4 linked regions of the Oryctolagus cuniculus genome follow. The protein of the gene in region 3 interacts with the protein of the main gene of each other region in a biochemical or structural test. Links are inferred from orthologs where the notes say so. Each region holds a gene or a part of one and is shown on either strand. Other genes may lie near its edges.

The links.
Region 1: of the proteins of MAPKAPK2 (region 3) and ZFP36L1, one has a biochemical effect on the other in vitro, tested with the Homo sapiens proteins (2 studies listed by BioGRID). The link is inferred for Oryctolagus cuniculus from reciprocal best matches to the Homo sapiens genes MAPKAPK2 and ZFP36L1.
Region 2: of the proteins of MAPKAPK2 (region 3) and HSPB1, one has a biochemical effect on the other in vitro, tested with the Homo sapiens proteins (17 studies listed by BioGRID and IntAct, with this or other methods). The link is inferred for Oryctolagus cuniculus from reciprocal best matches to the Homo sapiens genes MAPKAPK2 and HSPB1.
Region 4: of the proteins of MAPKAPK2 (region 3) and ZFP36, one has a biochemical effect on the other in vitro, tested with the Homo sapiens proteins (2 studies listed by BioGRID). The link is inferred for Oryctolagus cuniculus from reciprocal best matches to the Homo sapiens genes MAPKAPK2 and ZFP36.

Annotation. Positions count from the first base shown.
Region 1 is NC_091451.1:14,687,936-14,692,190, forward strand, and holds the start of ZFP36L1 (mRNA decay activator protein ZFP36L1), read right to left. Parts: upstream 2,835-4,255; 5' UTR 2,679-2,834; coding exon 2,622-2,678; intron 441-2,621; coding exon 1-440. UniProt on the Homo sapiens protein: Zinc-finger RNA-binding protein that destabilizes several cytoplasmic AU-rich element (ARE)-containing mRNA transcripts by promoting their poly(A) tail removal or deadenylation, and hence provide a mechanism for attenuating protein synthesis.
Region 2 is NC_091450.1:44,266,176-44,269,536, forward strand, and holds HSPB1 (heat shock protein beta-1), read right to left. Parts: upstream 1,972-3,361; 5' UTR 1,810-1,971; coding exon 1,449-1,809; intron 990-1,448; coding exon 926-989; intron 815-925; coding exon 625-814; 3' UTR 524-624; downstream 1-523. UniProt on the Homo sapiens protein: Small heat shock protein which functions as a molecular chaperone probably maintaining denatured proteins in a folding-competent state. Plays a role in stress resistance and actin organization.
Region 3 is NC_091444.1:21,850,341-21,854,439, reverse strand, and holds the start of MAPKAPK2 (MAP kinase-activated protein kinase 2), read right to left. Parts: upstream 2,844-4,099; 5' UTR 2,540-2,843; coding exon 2,249-2,539; intron 2,050-2,248; exon of another isoform or gene 1,911-2,049; intron 1-1,910. UniProt on the Homo sapiens protein: Stress-activated serine/threonine-protein kinase involved in cytokine production, endocytosis, reorganization of the cytoskeleton, cell migration, cell cycle control, chromatin remodeling, DNA damage response and transcriptional regulation.
Region 4 is NC_091449.1:15,543,532-15,547,529, forward strand, and holds ZFP36 (mRNA decay activator protein ZFP36), read right to left. Parts: upstream 2,812-3,998; 5' UTR 2,676-2,811; coding exon 2,652-2,675; intron 1,890-2,651; coding exon 978-1,889; 3' UTR 291-977; downstream 1-290. UniProt on the Homo sapiens protein: Zinc-finger RNA-binding protein that destabilizes several cytoplasmic AU-rich element (ARE)-containing mRNA transcripts by promoting their poly(A) tail removal or deadenylation, and hence provide a mechanism for attenuating protein synthesis.

The sequences.
Region 1 (4,255 bases), on a different chromosome or scaffold from region 3:
AAGCCGATGGTGTGGAAGGTGCGGCACAGCTCCGTCTTGTACTTGGGGTGGCGGGTCAGGCTGCGCAGCTCGTGGATGCCGTGCGCGAACTGGCACTTGTCCCCGTACTTACAGGCGCCGTTCTCCTCGAAGGGGCGGCACAGCTCCGTCTTGTAGCGGCTCGAGTTGACCTGGCCGCTCCCGGGCTGCTTCTGCGGCGGCAGCAGCCGCTCGCCCCCTTCGGAGAAGGAGCGGTCGCGGAAGCGGCTGTCCCGGGAGCTCAGGGCCGCGGCCGGCTCGCCCTTGAGGGTGCTGAGGAGTTGGTTCTGGTGGAACTTGGAGCTGGGTAGGGTGACCGAGTGCCTCCGGGGGAAGCCCCCGCCAGCAGGGGTGCCCACTGCCTTTCTGTCCAGCAGGCAGCCCGCGGTGCTGGGAGCACTGTAGTTGATCATCTTGTTACCCTGCAGGGAGGAGAGGGCAGAGAAAGGGGCGGTCAGCCATGGGGGGCATCCAGCCGGGGGCAGGCCCCTCTCACAGGAGCCGTCTCCCCGCCCCCAACCGCCCCCAGGTGGATTTTGGTCCCATGAATAAGAAACCACAAAATGCTGGCTGACAAACTGCTTCTCCTTCTGTCCTGCTCCACGCTGACCCAGGCCGTGCACCCTCATAACCACTTGTACCTGTAAAACCAACTCCCTGACCTCCCCCCTGGGCCCCTCCACCCAAAGTACCCAGCTCAGCCCAGACCTGGCAAGACTCCCCTCCCCCTACCAAAAATGAAAAGCCTCAGAGAGCAAAGTTAACAGTCAAGTCCCCCTCTTGATCCGTCTCTGCTCCCACGCACGACCTGGCCCACGACTCTGGACTTCCTCGTCCAGAAGAGTGCTCCCTTCCCTGGGCAACAGGTGCTCACGGCTGCCTGAGCTCCCTGCTTGAAGGGGGCAGGACGGAAGACCTAGGGGCCCCGGTCTGCGCTGGGGAAGGGGAGGGAGGGGGCTCCAGGCTCCTCCAAGGGGCTATTCCACAATGCTCTCCCCAACCCCCTGGGCTGCAAAGATGCCTTTGCAGTGAGTGCCCTGGCTGCAAGAGCAGGCTTGAAGAAGAGTACCAGTGTTTAATCTTTAACGCGAAGCTGCAGATGGGAAGCCAGGGCAAGCACCCACCCCCCACCTCCCAATCAATAGCAGATGGGGGGGGGTGTTGCAGAGCAACTACAGGCAAGTTTCTGTTCCAATGAGACCCTGGTCACCTGCCCAAAGGGTGGACGAGCTTTGGAAAGGGTGTGATGGGGGGGAACCTGGGAGTTGGCTCCCAGGTCGTGTGGGTGCCACCGTGCCAATTCTAAAGTCGGCCCCTCGGGATCAGCCGTGGGGGATCGGGAATCTGTAACTGCAACCACCCCACCGAGCGGATTACAGGAACCCAGTGGAGAGCCGGTTCCCAACAATGAGGTTCATTTAAAAAGTCCTGCCGGGGGGAGGGGGCGAAGAAAGCGCACTAGATCAAAGAGCGGGAGCGCGCGGGGAAGGGGGGAGACTGCGGGAGCGAGTGGAGGTCGCGAGGGAGGAAAGCTGAGCATTCCAACTTCTTAAAAGTTGTTCTGCAGCTCCCGGCGTCCGGCACCCCAAGCCTGCAGCCCCGGGGCCCTGGCAGCTGCGCCGACAGCAGCAGCGAGCAGGGAAGACGGCAACATGACCCGACGTGTTGAAGACCGGGGAGAAACACTTCAGCAATTAAAAGCAGCCTAGCAGCTTCACCCTTTCAAACTGGGGGAGGGGGCGGTTGCAAAGAAGTTTAACAACCACCACAGGCTTTGGTTCTGTACATTGAAACCGCACTCCTGGAACGGCTCCGAGTTTGAAACCGGCTTTATCCAACACGGGCTGGCAAAGCTACAAAGCCCAAGAAGCAGGCCCCTCACAGGGACCCTTAAGCTCAGCCTGGCAGTTTGTTACGACCCCCTGTCCCCCACCACCACCACCAACACCACGGCCCATGAGCCGCGCGGGTCTTCGGGAGCAGCCCGGGGCCCACTCGCCCCCTAGACCCACAGCGCCGTCGGGCCCGGCGGCCCTAACCCCGCCGCCGACTCATTGGCAACATCTTTTCAATCACCACTGGAGGCCTTTCTCCTCCGAATGGATTCCCCAGCTCCTCCGAAGCAGAAAGCGTGGGGTTACCTCCCGGCCACGCGTCGCGCCAGACTCGTTTTCCCGCGGGACCCCCGCAGCCCCACGCCCAGCCCACAAGCCGGCCGCGCTTGCATGGACGCGTGCCCCTCCGCGCCGCGGCACCGGGGCGCACCCCGGCCCCAGCCACACGTCGCGGGCCGAGGACTCGCCCCAGACCTGCCCCGATGCCACGCAGCCTTCGCCCCCCAGGATCCTGGCTCCTAGACCCCGGGGTCATCCCCGCCAGGGGCCGTGGAGACTCCAAGGGTGCGGAGGACAAATTCCTTCAAACTCGGCCGGAACCTCAGGCGGAGACGCAAAGCAGCTCTTGCTTCGCCTCCCTCCTCTTCCTCCTGCTTTCCAAAGACCCAAACTTCCCCCCCGCCTCCCCGGGGACGGACGAGTGCGGCCGTTCTTAAGGCAAAACCGAAAAAGACTTTTCGAAAAAGCAGTCGCTCCGCCCCACTTTACCTTGCATAAAACTTCGCTCAAGTCGAAGATGGTAGCAGACACGAGGGTGGTGGTCATCCTGAGCGCTCGCACGGGGGGCAGAGGCGAGGGTCTGGTGCGTGGCGAAGGTCCCGGTGCGGGGAAGGCGCAGCCGCCGGCTCTGGGGTCTGGACTCCCGCGCGCCTGCTCCCAGCGCCCCTCGCCTGTCTCACTCTCCCGGGCTGCGGCGCGCAAAGCCCAATTTATAAAGTTTCAGATTTGGTGGGCCGGGGCGGGGGGGGGGAGGAGGAGCTCTAAAGTTATTTAAATGAGGAAGAGGAGGGGGAAAAAAGTTGATTGACACCGAGGTTGAATCAGCCATGCGGTCAAGCTGGGGGTGGAGTGGGGGGGGAGGAGAGAAAAGCAAGAAGGGGGAGGGGAGACGAGGAAAGAGGCGGAAAAAAAAAACCACTGCGAGCCGCGCACAACTTTTTTTTTTTTTCTTAAAGAGGAAAACTTTCGAGTCGGCGGGCTCGGCCGGCCCGCGCCCCGGGTGCGCGCGGCGCAGGGGGAGGGACACAGCCGCCGAGCCCAGGTCTGTGACGTCACCCCCCCCAGCTCGGTGCCTGTTGTCGTGTTGTTGTTTTCTGTCCGGCACGAAGGCGGGCTCGACTTTCTCCTTTTTTTTTTTTTTTTTTTTTTTTTTTGCTCGTCCCGTGCGCCCGGGCTGCGTTGTCCGACGGGTGCGGGTGTCCCCTGAAAACTTCGCCAGGCGCCCGCACCACTCCCGGCGTCTCCCAGCGAACCGGGCGGGCCGGCACGCACGCAGCGTTAGAGCCGAGGGTTGGAGGCTTGGAGGGGGTTTGTGTTTGTTTGTTTGTTTTATTTTTTATTTTATTTTATTTTATTTTTGCGGAGTGGGGGGCGGGGGTACTCGGGAAACTTTTTCGCCCAGCGGGGGCGAGCACAGCACGATTCTGGGCCAAGCACGCGTCTACACTCGCGCTCGCTTTGCAGCCCGCGCTTGTCTGGGTGTGGGCGGGGGGGGGGGGGCGTTGCCAAAAAAGACCACCGCTCGGGCTGATTGCTACTTTTAACAGGTCTAGGCGTGGCGCTTCTTTCACGCATCCAATCTAAACTTTTAAAAGCACAGGAAAACCCTAAATGCTTCCTCCCCGCAAAAAAAAAAAAAAGGAAAAAAAGAAACCACAGCAACGAACCACTTTCCACGCGCGCTCTCAAACACAGGCCTCGACTTCCCCCGTCCCCCACACACACCTCCCTCGCCCCGACACTAGAACAATGAAAAAAAAAGTGACTTTGGCTAAGCACGCAGGCGAATAGGGGGAGGCGACACTTTTAACTCATTGTCGTTTCCCTCCCGCCCCCACGGGGACGGAACATATGGCTGGGCTGGCCGCGCTGATTTGGCGGGCGGTGGGGAGGGGGCGACACGGGACCCACGAACCAAAAGGCCCGCGGTGATCATGAACTCCCTTTTTAAAAAATGATAAAATACCCACTTATTTACTGCTAGGTCCGGATGCCCCCCCCCCGCCCCTGCCCCGGCCTCCGCCCGGGCGCCGGGGCGCACAGCGAGGCGGAAATCGCGGGGCCGCGTGTCTTTCCTATTTCCACGCGGGCCGGGCCGCCTCCTCGGGCCTCGCGCGTTTCTT
Region 2 (3,361 bases), on a different chromosome or scaffold from region 3:
GCCCCCATTGGCTTCCTGCCTCTTTCAGATCCGTCGGGACCCTCTCCTTAAGTCTAGGGAAGAGGCTGGCAGGGAGGGCCAGGCAGAAGAGGGAGAGGGCTGAGGGGGTGTGGCTGTCCCCGCCCGGGCAAGTCAAGGCAGCTCTGCATATCAAGATCACAGCCTTCCGGACCAACACCTGGGCCACACCCCCTTCCCCCTGCGCACGGTGCCCAGGGGCAGGGGCAGAGCCCATGCCGCACCAAGGGGCTGCCCAGGTGGGCTCAGTCACCTGGAATTGCCTGCTTCACCGAGGGTCTGGGAGCTCCGGGCAAGCGCCCTCCCCTACTCCTGCTCAGTTCCTCCTCACCTGGGACAGGTGCGTCTCCTGGGTTTGCAGACTCCCACACCTGGCCCTGTCTGGTTGCAATCATTCCCCTTCTCCATGGACAGGAGACCCCTAGGGTCGTCTACCCCTCTGTGCCAAAATGACGCCATGTGACCCGCCCCTCCCCCCTCCAAACACCAGGGTCCCAGGCAGGAGCAAGCAGCTGCTTTGAACTTTATTTGCGAAGACCAGAAGCTTAACAGTATCAAAAGGGCACGCAGGTGGGTGCTGGGGGCTGGGCGGCGCGCGAGGGCGCTCTACTTGGCCGCAGGCTGCTCGGACTTCCCGGCTTCCGGGCCGCCGATCTGGGCGCGGGCCTCGAAGGTGACCGGGATGGTGATCTCCGCCGACTGCGTGGCCGGCTTGGGCAGCGGCGCTTCCACGGTGAGCGTACCCTCAGGGGACAGCGAGGAGGAGACCAGCGTGGGGTCCACGCCGGGGGGCAGCCTGGACGCGGCAGGGAAGGAAGAGGGCAAGAAAGAGTTAACACAGCGCTGGGCGGCAGGGGTCACTCCTCCCCGGGTTCCCACCCCCTAGCTGGCCAGGGCCAGGACTCACGTGTACTTCCGGGTGAAACAGCGGGAGATGTAGCCGTGTTCGTCCTGTCGCTCTTCGTGTTTGCCTGGGTTGGGGGGGTGCAGAGGGAGGTCAGAGGTCACGGGAAGGGGGCCCCTCCACTTGCTCAGGGGTAGCTGGGGCCCCAGACAGGCACAGCCTGAGCCAGCAACTGCTGGAGACTGGCAGGGGGTGTGGCGTGCGCCTGACTGTCGGGACCCTCAAACTTCTGGAAAGTTCCGAGTTTGGGGAGTGGCCAGCCGCGCAGGCGCGCGTGGGGCGGGGCACACGCCCCCCCCCCCAGTCTCCCTGCGCGGTCCTGGGGCGCTGCTGATTTGGGGCGGGGGTCTTGGCTGGAAGCAGCGCCTCTGCCCCCAATAGAGGGACCCTCAGGGGCAGCCCGCACCGCTCCCCGCCGTCCCCTGCGCCCCTGCCGCGCCGCGGGCCGGGGCGGCGCTCCGGCGGACTTTTAACTCCACCCCACCCCACCCCACCCCCGGCCCCTGCGCCCCGGCCCGGGGCTCACCCGTGATCTCCACCACGCCGTCCTTGGTCTTGACCGTCAGCTCCTCCGGGGCGAAGTGGTTCACGTCCAGGGACACGCGCCAGCGGTCGGCCGTGTGCCGGATCTCCGAGACGCCGCTGCTGAGCTGCCGGCTGAGCGCACGGCTGTAGGCGGGCGCGGCCACGGCGGGGGCCTCCGCGGCGGGCAGGGGCCGCACGTAGCCTGGCCAGCTGCTGCCGCCGAACCACTGCGCCCACTCCTCGGGCAGCCGCGGCAGCCCGAAGGCCTGGTCGAAGAGGCGGCTGTGCACCGGGTACCAGTCGCGGAACGGGTCCCAGCTGGGGCTGCGCAGGAGCGAGAAAGGCACGCGGCGCTCGGTCATGGTTGCGGTGCGCGGGGCAGGGGCGCGGAGAAGTGCGGGGCTGCGGCCCCAGACGCGCTTTTATGGGTCTCCAGCCGGGTATTTTTAGCAGGCGGTGCTTCGGGTCTCTATTAATGGCAATGACCAGCTGGGGGCTGCCCCGCCCCCTGAATTCCTCCCCCGTGATTACAGGGGCGGGCCGTGGAAGGTTCTGCCCACATCTGGAACCTTCTCCGGTTTAGGGAAGCGAAATGCGTGGCTGGAGCCGCGCCCACGGCCGGGCCCTACAGCCTGCGCGCTCAAGCGCAGTGGCCGGCGGCCAGCCCGTGTCTTTTGTGGAAGACCCAGGGGTCACAGGAGGTTGGGTGGTCCCAGAGTGACCACGGGGGGTCCCTGGGGCGGGGCGCATGCTTCTACCACCAGGCGGGCTGGCTTGTGGCAGTGAGGCTCCTGCCTCACTTTCCCCATCTGGAAAATCTGGCAGCGAAAATGCTTGGTGATTGGGTTAGCAGGGAATGCAGTGACGTCATGCGCCTGCTGGGTCATCCTGGTTCGCTGTCGTCATCCACCTGGAAGGGGATGAGGAGGCGGAGTTGGTGGGGTCTGGCCTTTCCCCCCTACCCGGACCAGAGACCTCCAAGCTCTAGCGCTGAGAGAGAGGGGTCTGGAGGAAGTTTGTTGTTCCGGCTCCCTGCTAGGACCTGGCTTCCCTTAAACCCTGGCCAGGGAACCTCAAGTGCAGCAAACTTGAGAGCAGGCGGGGCTTGGCTCCCTGGCTTCCTGCTGTGACTAGGGGCAAAATCTCCTTGCTGGGCCTCAGTTTCCCTTTCTGCAATTGATGGTCCTCGGGGCGCAGGGCAAGGGGCCTCCACGTGGTACAGTTCACTCTAGCTGGCTGTGAGCCTGGACACCCCACCCCCTCCTGCCCCCTCTCACACACCCCCACTCGCCTCATCCATCTGACACACACCCCACCCTCCCCTGCCTCCTCCATCTGACACACTCCCACCCCCACCTGCCTCCTCCATGACACACACCCCCCACCCCCACCCGCCTCCTCCATCTGACACAGTCCCACCCCCACCTGCCTCCTCCATGACACACACACACCCCACCCCCACCTGCCTCCTCCGACACCCCCCTCCCCCGACTCCGCTGGCCATCCTTTATACTCCACAGTTGCTCTGTCTGCACTTCACGGGCACCCCCTGTCCAGCCTGCCTTCTCCCCTGGTAGACGTTCTGTGAGAGGAACCTAAAGGTCCAAGAAATTGGGTGACAGCCCTGGTCTTCCCTAAAACTCAGGCAGGGTCAGCCTGTGGCCCTGCCGCTCCCTGCTTCCTCTCCCAGACACACACGGGGGCTGGGGCTCCCCACCCACAGCAGCCAGACTCCCGGTCACTCACTGCTGAGAGGCTGGGGTAGCAGGAAGCCCCCTCCCCTCTCTGAGCCTGTTTCCTTTCTTTTTTAATTTAATTATTTGGAGGCTGGTGCTGTGCCGTAGAAGCTCCTGGCTTCAGCCTGGCTGTCGTGGCCGTTTGGGGAGTGAACCAGCAGATGGAGGGTCTCTCTCC
Region 3 (4,099 bases):
ACAGGGCTAGAATACCTGCAACAAGTCACTCCTCGCACCTGCAACACGAGGGGGCTGACGAGATGCCGGCTGGAGTCCTGTCCAGCTCTGCCTGCAAGCGTGAGCGTGACTCAGAGCTCTGCAAGAGCAGCCAGGGGAGACAGCGAGCTGAGGTCACAGCACCCACCAAAACCATGTAAATGTCAGCTCTCAGAGGTGGAGGTGGAGACAAAGCAGGCGCGCTGGACCATTGGGTAAGCCCTGCTCTCACCTAACAGGTCTGAGAGGTCACCGGACCACAGACAGGGAGCCGGGCATCCCAGCAGCTGCCACCTGCTCCGAGCTTCGAGCTGTCACACTTCCCAGCCCCTGTGGCTCTGCGCGAGCCCCCAGCGATGGCCTTCCCACACTGTGCCCAGTGCTAGTCTGCCTCCTTCTTGAAGCCTTCCTCTTGGGGGTACTCCTGCTGCCCCCACAGCTTCATAATCAAAAATCTGACTTTACAATCAAAAGACTTCTGCTTGTTAAAAAAAAAAAAAAATCACACCATTCTTCAGTCCCTAAGGTTAATCAGAATTCCCGATCTGGAAGTCTCTTTGGTGTGAGGAACAGGATCCGTTGAGCCAGATTCCCCCACAGCTGCAATTATGTCTTAGCCAATATTTGGATATGGAAGTGCTGTTGACACCGCTGTCAGTCTCCTGATGCCTCGCCCCTACTCTCTTCCTCTATTATTAAGTTTTAACACAGAGATGTGTGGGAAATCTACCATTGAACAGTTGAGTCAACTTAGAAGGTCTGGGAGCAGGCTGCCTGTCAAAACATTCTGCCTTCCATCTTCACCCACTCTAACCTGAGGAGGATAAATTACAAGTGCTGTTTAATACGCTGCTCATTTCTTCCTTTCAGAACTATTCAGAAGAGGAAAATATGCAAGCAGCTTGCCTATTAATTGCAATAAAAATCTGAACTGCCACCCAGAAGCACTTCAGAAGGTGGTTTTGCGTGTCCAAGTCTACGCAGCAGAAGTCGGGAGCTTTTGTCCTCAAGCCTTTTTATGCCATATTCCAACCATTCAGGGGACAAGGAAGGCAGATGGCAACTCAGAGAGGACACAAAACCCTCCTGGAAAGCGTGCCTGTCACCTCCTCCAGGATGCAGGTTAACCGTGGTCAAACTGACCCGTCAACGGCAATGCCCAAGGTCAGAGCCATGGTCAGGCGGAACAGTTCCTCCCCCCTCCTCTCCCGGCTGTTGGTATGGAAAGAAGTGTAAGGCACACCTTGCAGGGTGCCCTAAATTCTGACAAACACTCTCCCACCATTGCCACCACCAGCAGAGATCCCACAACCGGAGCTTATGGCCAAAAGCCAAGAAACCCGGCAGCGTGGAGGAGAAAAGGGGCGAGAGAATCATTGCAGAGACCCCAAAACCCTCGAAATCGAGCACGCCTGCCCCTCTGCGCCCGGTTTCTATGAGGCTGGTTGTATATCCGACGCTCCACCCACAACTCCTATCTGAGTTTTGTCTTTGATAACTGAAACGTGAAAGGGAAGAGAAAAATACAACACAGGAAGTATTTTTCTCCTCCTCCAATCATTAAGACACCCCCCAGGGAGACAGATGTGCCCGGCTCCCTCCGGAGACAGGGTCTGAGCCGAAACCCTTCGGGTGACCCCGACCGACGGAGCGCCCCCCACCCCTCCGCGGGCCGCCAGGTGCGCTCCGGGCAACTTCTCCGGCAGGTCTCCGCTTAGAAACCCGCACCCCCGCCCCCGACACCCCTTCAAACGAAAACAAAACAAACAGAGGCTGGGTTTCCCCGGCGCTCCCTCCACCGCCCAGCGAGCGCGGCGCCCGGGACGCGAGCGGCGCCCGGGCCCCGGGTTCCCGGGCCGGAGTTAGAGTGGCCCGCGCGCGGGACCCGTCCGCCCCGCCGGTCCCCGGCCCGCGCGGCCGCCCTCGCGAGGCCCCGGGAAGTGAAATCACACATTCCGGCTCCCAAATAAGGAGCGAGCCGAAGGAAACCTCCGAGATCCGACTTCTCCAAACCCACCGACCACCCGCCCGGTGAGTAATGGGCCTTTTGTGCCCGCGGGAAGAAAGGGAGGAGGGAGGCGGGCGTGGGGCCCCGTATCCCCGACACGGCGCGGGCTCGGCACCAGTGGCCCCGGCGCCGGAGCCCTGCGGGTGCCCCGCGCCGCCGCGGTGGCCGGAAACTCGGCGGGGGCCGCGGGCTCCCCTCGCGCGCCCCCCGGCCCACACCTACCTTGAGGGCGAATTTCTCCTGCGTCTTCTTGCTGAAGATCTGCAGAACTTTGCCGTTGATGCCCAGCCCCAGGACCTGGCTGGTGACCTTGTAGTCGTCGATGATGGCGTTTTTCTTGATCTGCAGGCCCGACCTGACGTGGAACTGCGGGAACTGCTGCGGGGGCGGCGGCGGCGGCGCCGGGGCCGGGGGCTGCGCCGGGGCCGGGGGCGGCTGCTGCTGCGGCGGCGGCGGCGGCGGCGGCCCGGGGGGCGGCGCGGGCGCGCTCGGGCCCTGCGGGCCGGGCAGCATGGCGCCGGCGGCCGCCCCCTCCTCCGGCCCGGGACGGGGTCCCCGCTGCCCCCCGCCCGGCTGCGAAGTTTGCTCCTGGCTGGAGCCGGCGTCCGCGCCCCCGCCCGGCTCCAGGCTCTGCGGGCCGCGGGGCTCCGTGGGTCCCGCCGCTGGTGCCCACCGGCCCTACACCCTCCCTCCCTCCCTCCCTCCCCCCCCCGGGGGCCTGGCGCTCCGGGGGCCGCGGGACAGCGGGGCCCGGCCGGGGGGCAGCGGCCGCGCGACAAAGTCCCAGCCCCGGGGCCGGCGGCCGCGTCACAGCCTCGTCTGCGTCCGGGGCCGGTCCTTAAAGGGGAGGGTCGGAGGGGCGGGGCCCGGGGCGGTGTGGGTGTGGGGGAGGGGCGGGCCTTAAAGGGGAGGACGCGCGGCGCCGGCCGCGTGCTGGGGAGGCCCGGGGCCCGGGGCCCGGGGCCGGGGGCTGGGACCCCGCGGGGCGGGAGAAGGACCGGGGAAAGCGTGTCCCTCGGCCGGCGCCGCGCGCGGGGCGCGGGGAGGCGTGGGAGAGCTGCTGCGTAATGCCGAGAGAAAATCCACTTTCCTCCAATTGTCTGGCCCATTTTGGGCGGCAGCGGCAAGTTGGAAGAGAAGGGGTGCCTTGGCCAGGTGAGACCTCGGGGGCCACCCGCCCTGGGACAGGTGCGAGCACCTGGTGAGCGTTCTTCTCCGAGGCTTTGCCCTTTTCTAGTACATGTGTGGTTTTTCAGGGAAGATTCACTACTGTGAGCCGTGGACGAGTTAGGAGCTATACCTTCAAACGGGAGAAGACGCAGGGTGCGAGGCTGATGGCTCCCTAGGAGCCCCTTTCTTCCCACCTGCCGGCCGCGCGGTCCGGACGGGGAGACCAGCGGCCCCTTCCCGAGGGTGTGCAGAGACTCAGAGTGATAAGGTTTTCATTTCCAACATGGAAAAACTAATCCTGAACCTAGAGCCTTGAGAAGTGGGTGTTTCTGAGAAAGCTGGTTTAGTCCAGGGCGATTCCCAGGGTCCTGCGGGACCCACAGCATAACCAGGGCCAGGGGAGGGGTGGAGGGAGGCCCAGACCCTTGGCCGGGAGAGAGGCTGCCTGGGAGGGCCGCTGCACCCCTGGAAGAGGAAATCCAGGGTGCATCCGGGGCTCTTCTTGTTCCCAGAGGGTTGGGAGATAATCACCAAACACATCCCTTGAGCTGCTCCCTCCTTGGACTAGTAGAGCAGCGGAGAAATAAGAGGAGGGCCCCAGCCAGGGAAAGACAAGACTCCAGGTCAGTTACAGCCAAGTCTGTATCAGAGTGAGACCTGACTTGTGGCCACACATGGCCCATAAAACTCATCCTCAAAAAAAAAAAAAAAAAACTCTGGAGAGAGCAGCCTGAGCCCTTGGGAACTGAGTCCAGGAGGACAGGGCAAAAGTGATAGTGACCCCTGCCTGGTTCATCTTTCCCAGGAGAGTGAAGGGCAGGGGTCCCGCTCCCAGCCCTGTCCCTTCCAAGGCGAGCAGAGCTCACTCTGTGGGCCAGCGAGATACATGGTTCCTGAAGTAGC
Region 4 (3,998 bases), on a different chromosome or scaffold from region 3:
CGCCCGCCCCGCGCCTGGCGCCGGCACATTCCGTCCTCTCGCCGCCCCGGCCCCGTGGGGACGGAAATGTCCCGTCCCCGCCCGCTCGGGCCTAGCAGCCCGGCAGGACGCGAGTGCAGCGTCCCCAGACGCCTCGGGAACCGGCTCGCCCGGCTCCCCCCCGTGACCTCACCTGGCCCCGCCCTCTCAGGTGAACGGCGGGCCTGGTGACGTCACTTCCTGCCAGGTAAGCGCCGCAGGGCGGCTGGGCTCTCGCCCCCTCCCCGCCCCGGACAGCACAAAGGCCAGGGTTCCAGTTTACACGCCGGTTCCTTTTATTTAAAAATTCTAAAACACAAAAATAGACTTTTAAGGTAACAATATATATTACTTAATATATTATTATAGCATACTTAATAATTATACCAGTTTCCAATATTACAAAAAAGAGGAGGAAAAAATACAAAGGAAGCAGACGACTCAATATATATAAATACTATAAAACCTTATTAGAATAAATAAAGTCGTCATAAATAAAGGGCCCGTCGGTTGGGGGAGGGGTTTGGCAACGGCTTTGCTTGCTTGTGGAGGGAAATTTGAGCACCAGGAGTCTCCCTCGGGGAGGCTCCACTCACCACCAGACGCTGGGACCTCAGGAAGAAGTGGGAGGGGGCGCGCAGGGGGCTACTATTCACAGCACATGAGATTCCAGGAGATTCAGACGGGGTGCAGGTCGGGGGGGACGGGGCTCACTGTCTCCCTCCAGTATGCTACATCTTCAAAGAACCCCAGAGAGCACTCTGTCCCCCAACACCGTGAACACTGAGCTTGCACACCGGGGACCTGCCCCAGCGTGGGGTCAGGGGTGAAGTTAATGCATTTTGGAATGCGGGGGAGGGAGGGACCCACTTGAATGAATTAGGATCCCTTCCCCACAGGCCCTGGGCCCAGCGGAACCCACGGCACACCGCGGCGCCCCTCTATCCAACGGATCTCCGTCACTCAGACACGGAGATGCGGTTGAAGATGGGGAGGCGCCTGGGGGCTGCAGGCGGCTGGGGTGGCCCGAAAGCTCCCGTCTCGAAGACAGGAGAGTCGGACCCCCCCAGGCTGCTGCCGCTGCTGGCGTACTCATCCGGGTCTGAGCCCAGGGAGTGCGCCGAGGGGCTCCGGGCCAGGCCACCCAAGGGCCCCCAGATGCTGACAGGGTTGGCCCGGCGGCAGGAGGGGCAGCAGGCGGGCGTGGGGTCCCTTCGAGCCACGGGGGTCCCAGGGGCGGCAGAGAAGGCCGAGGGTGAAAGCGGAGCGTCCCCCGGTGGGGGCGGGGAGCTGGGTGGCGAGAAGGAGCAGGAGGACAGGGAGGGGCCTGCGAGGCCCGGCGGCGGAGGCGATGTCCTGCGGCCGGAGGGCAGGCCGGAGAAGCTCACGCTCTGGCGCAGCACGTGGGGGTGGCCGGGGGCGGCCAGGTCCTCGCTGGGGTTGTGGATGAAGTGGCAGCGGGAGCCGTAGGGACAGCGGCCCTGGAGGTAGAACTTGTGGCAGAGTTCAGTCTTGTACTTGGGGTGGCGATTGGCTTGGCGCAGCTCGCCCAGGCCATGGGCAAACTGGCATTTGGCGCCGTAGCGGCAGCGTCCACTCTCCGAGAAGGTCCGACACAGCTCAGTCTTGTAGCGGGAGGAGGTGGTGGGGGTCGCCGTGGGCGAGGTGGGCGAGGGCGCCAGCTCCGGGCCCGGGCGGGGAGCCAGGGGTGCGAAGCCAGGGGGTGGCGGCACCCAGCCGCAGCTGCGGCCCTCTACCAGGCTGGTGGAGCGGCCCGGCAGGCGAGAGGTGATCCCAGCCGGGCCCCAGAGTCCCGAAGGATCCGTCCCTCCGTGGTCGGATGGGGGGTCAGGGTGCAGCGACACGAGGCTCTGTGGGAACAGGGATCGGGTTAGGACACCCGCAGACGCAGGGCGAGGCGCGCCCCAGCTGCAGGGCACTTCAAGACCTTGCCAGGCCGGTTTGTGGGCTCCCGGCCGGAGCCCCACCCGCCCACGGCAACCGGGATTTCCGGAACCCAGCGGCGATCCCGGTTCAGGGGCTCTGCGTTGAGCCACGGCTGGAGGAGGAATCCCAGCTTCCCGGGAGGATCAACAGGGGACCCTAAAGTCAGGTCCCCAACTTGGAGCCGCTGGGCCTTCCCGGATATGAGGAGCGCAGCGGGTTAGTTCTCCAGTTTCACAACGGGAGGAGCCTGGCAGAGCCAACTCGGGAGTCTGGTCTTTGGGGTTTGAGTTCCCGGAGAAGGCGGGTCGAGGCGTCAGAGGCAGAAGTCGGCTTCCCCGCCCCGAGACTCAGCCCCAAAAACGCCTCCGCGCGGCACCGCGCCCTCGGCGACTACGAGGGGTGAGCCAGGTGCGGCGCCGTTTCCGCCTCCGACCAGCCCTGGTCTGAGCAAAGTTTCCCAGCGGCCACTCCACGGGGCCCCCACCCAAGTGCCGGCCGGGCCGAGAGCCGGCAGGCGGGGGCTCCATTTTTACTTCCCACCCCCCACCCCCGCCCCCCGATAATCAGGTCGGTCCGGAAAAGGCAGCCGGGGGCCGGGGTCGGAGGGTGTAGCGCAGAAGAGCCCCCCCCCCCAGCTTGGCAGGGAGGCTAGCGTCCCGGCGCTGGGGAGTCCGGAGGGGACTCACCTCGTAGATGGCTGTGAGATCCATGGCGGCGCGTTTGGCCCTGAGGGATCGGCCCAAAGTCGGAGCGCTGAAACCAGGCTGCGGCTACCCGCGACAGACACCTTCTTATAGGGCAGTGGGGGCGTGGTCGAGAGGGGCGGGCCCAGGGCGGGGCGGGGCCAGGAGGGGCGCTTCCCGGACGCGCGCCCCCGGCGCAGCCCGACGGGCCCTGGGCTAGTCCCCTTCCGCCCGGCTGCCGGCCAGGACGGGGCCTGCGCGCGGCGGGGCGGCCCGGAGGGGAGTGCGTGGGGTGGGGCGCGGGGCGGGAAGGGCGTCTGCCTGCCCAGGTTTCAAGGCTAGAGACGGAGGCCGGAGAATGGAACTGGGACACGGGTGGGGGCAGGGCTGCCGGAGCAACTGACAAGGGCAGAGGCCGAGAGGGCCTGCGCGGCTGACGGCGCGGGGGGTGGGCAGAGGAGAGAAAAAACCGACGAGAAGCAGAGGGAGGGACGGGCTCACACAGCGAGCCAGAGGCCGGCAGGTAGCTGGAAAGGGAGAGACAGGGAGGAAGAGACCCGGGGTGTGTGTGGGGGTGGGGGGGGGAACATGGGAAACAGACGTACACAGGGAGTCGCAGGGACACAGAGACAGGAAGGCATAACGCTGAGAGAAAGGGAGAGACACGCAGAGCCGTGCTGAGAGAGGGTGAGATGGAGGGAGGCGCAGGGAGAGACACCAGAGGTGGAGAGACACAGGCAGAGATTCTACACCGAGGGAGGAGACGACCCCCCCAGAGAAGTTCTGAGGCGGGAGCGGTGCGAGCGAGGGGGGGGGTCGCAAAGAACCCCCAAGAGGAAGAATTAACAAAGAAACAACACCCCCCCCCCCAGGCCCAAAGTCCACTCTGGCCAAGTGCAGGGAGGGAAACCATTCTGCCTGATAGGGCATTCCCTTCTCTGACACCTGCTGGGGCAGCTCCGCCTCGCTCCCAAACCGGAGACCCAGGCCTGGGAGCCGCCGTCATCGAGAGGGGGTGGGGTCGCAGACACCCGCGGGGGCACTCAGGGCTGTCTCCGCTTTCCACGCGCTCACACTGCCGGACACCCACGTCAGGTCACCCTCGCAGGCCCCCAGCCCGGGAGCAGCAGCCGCCCGGCCGCGGGGCCTCTGCCGGACGGCGCCCAAGATGGGACAGGTGGGCGGGCCCTCGCTCCTGGGGAAGACCGCCTCGCCCGAGCGCTGTTTTGAAACGCAAGAAGTGGGTTGTCCCCAGGTGCGGGCCGGCCGGGCTGCGACCGCCAGGGGTGCCCGGGGAGAAGCCTCGGTTGCCCGGGCTGCTTCGCCATGTTGGCGAGTCTTTCATAATCA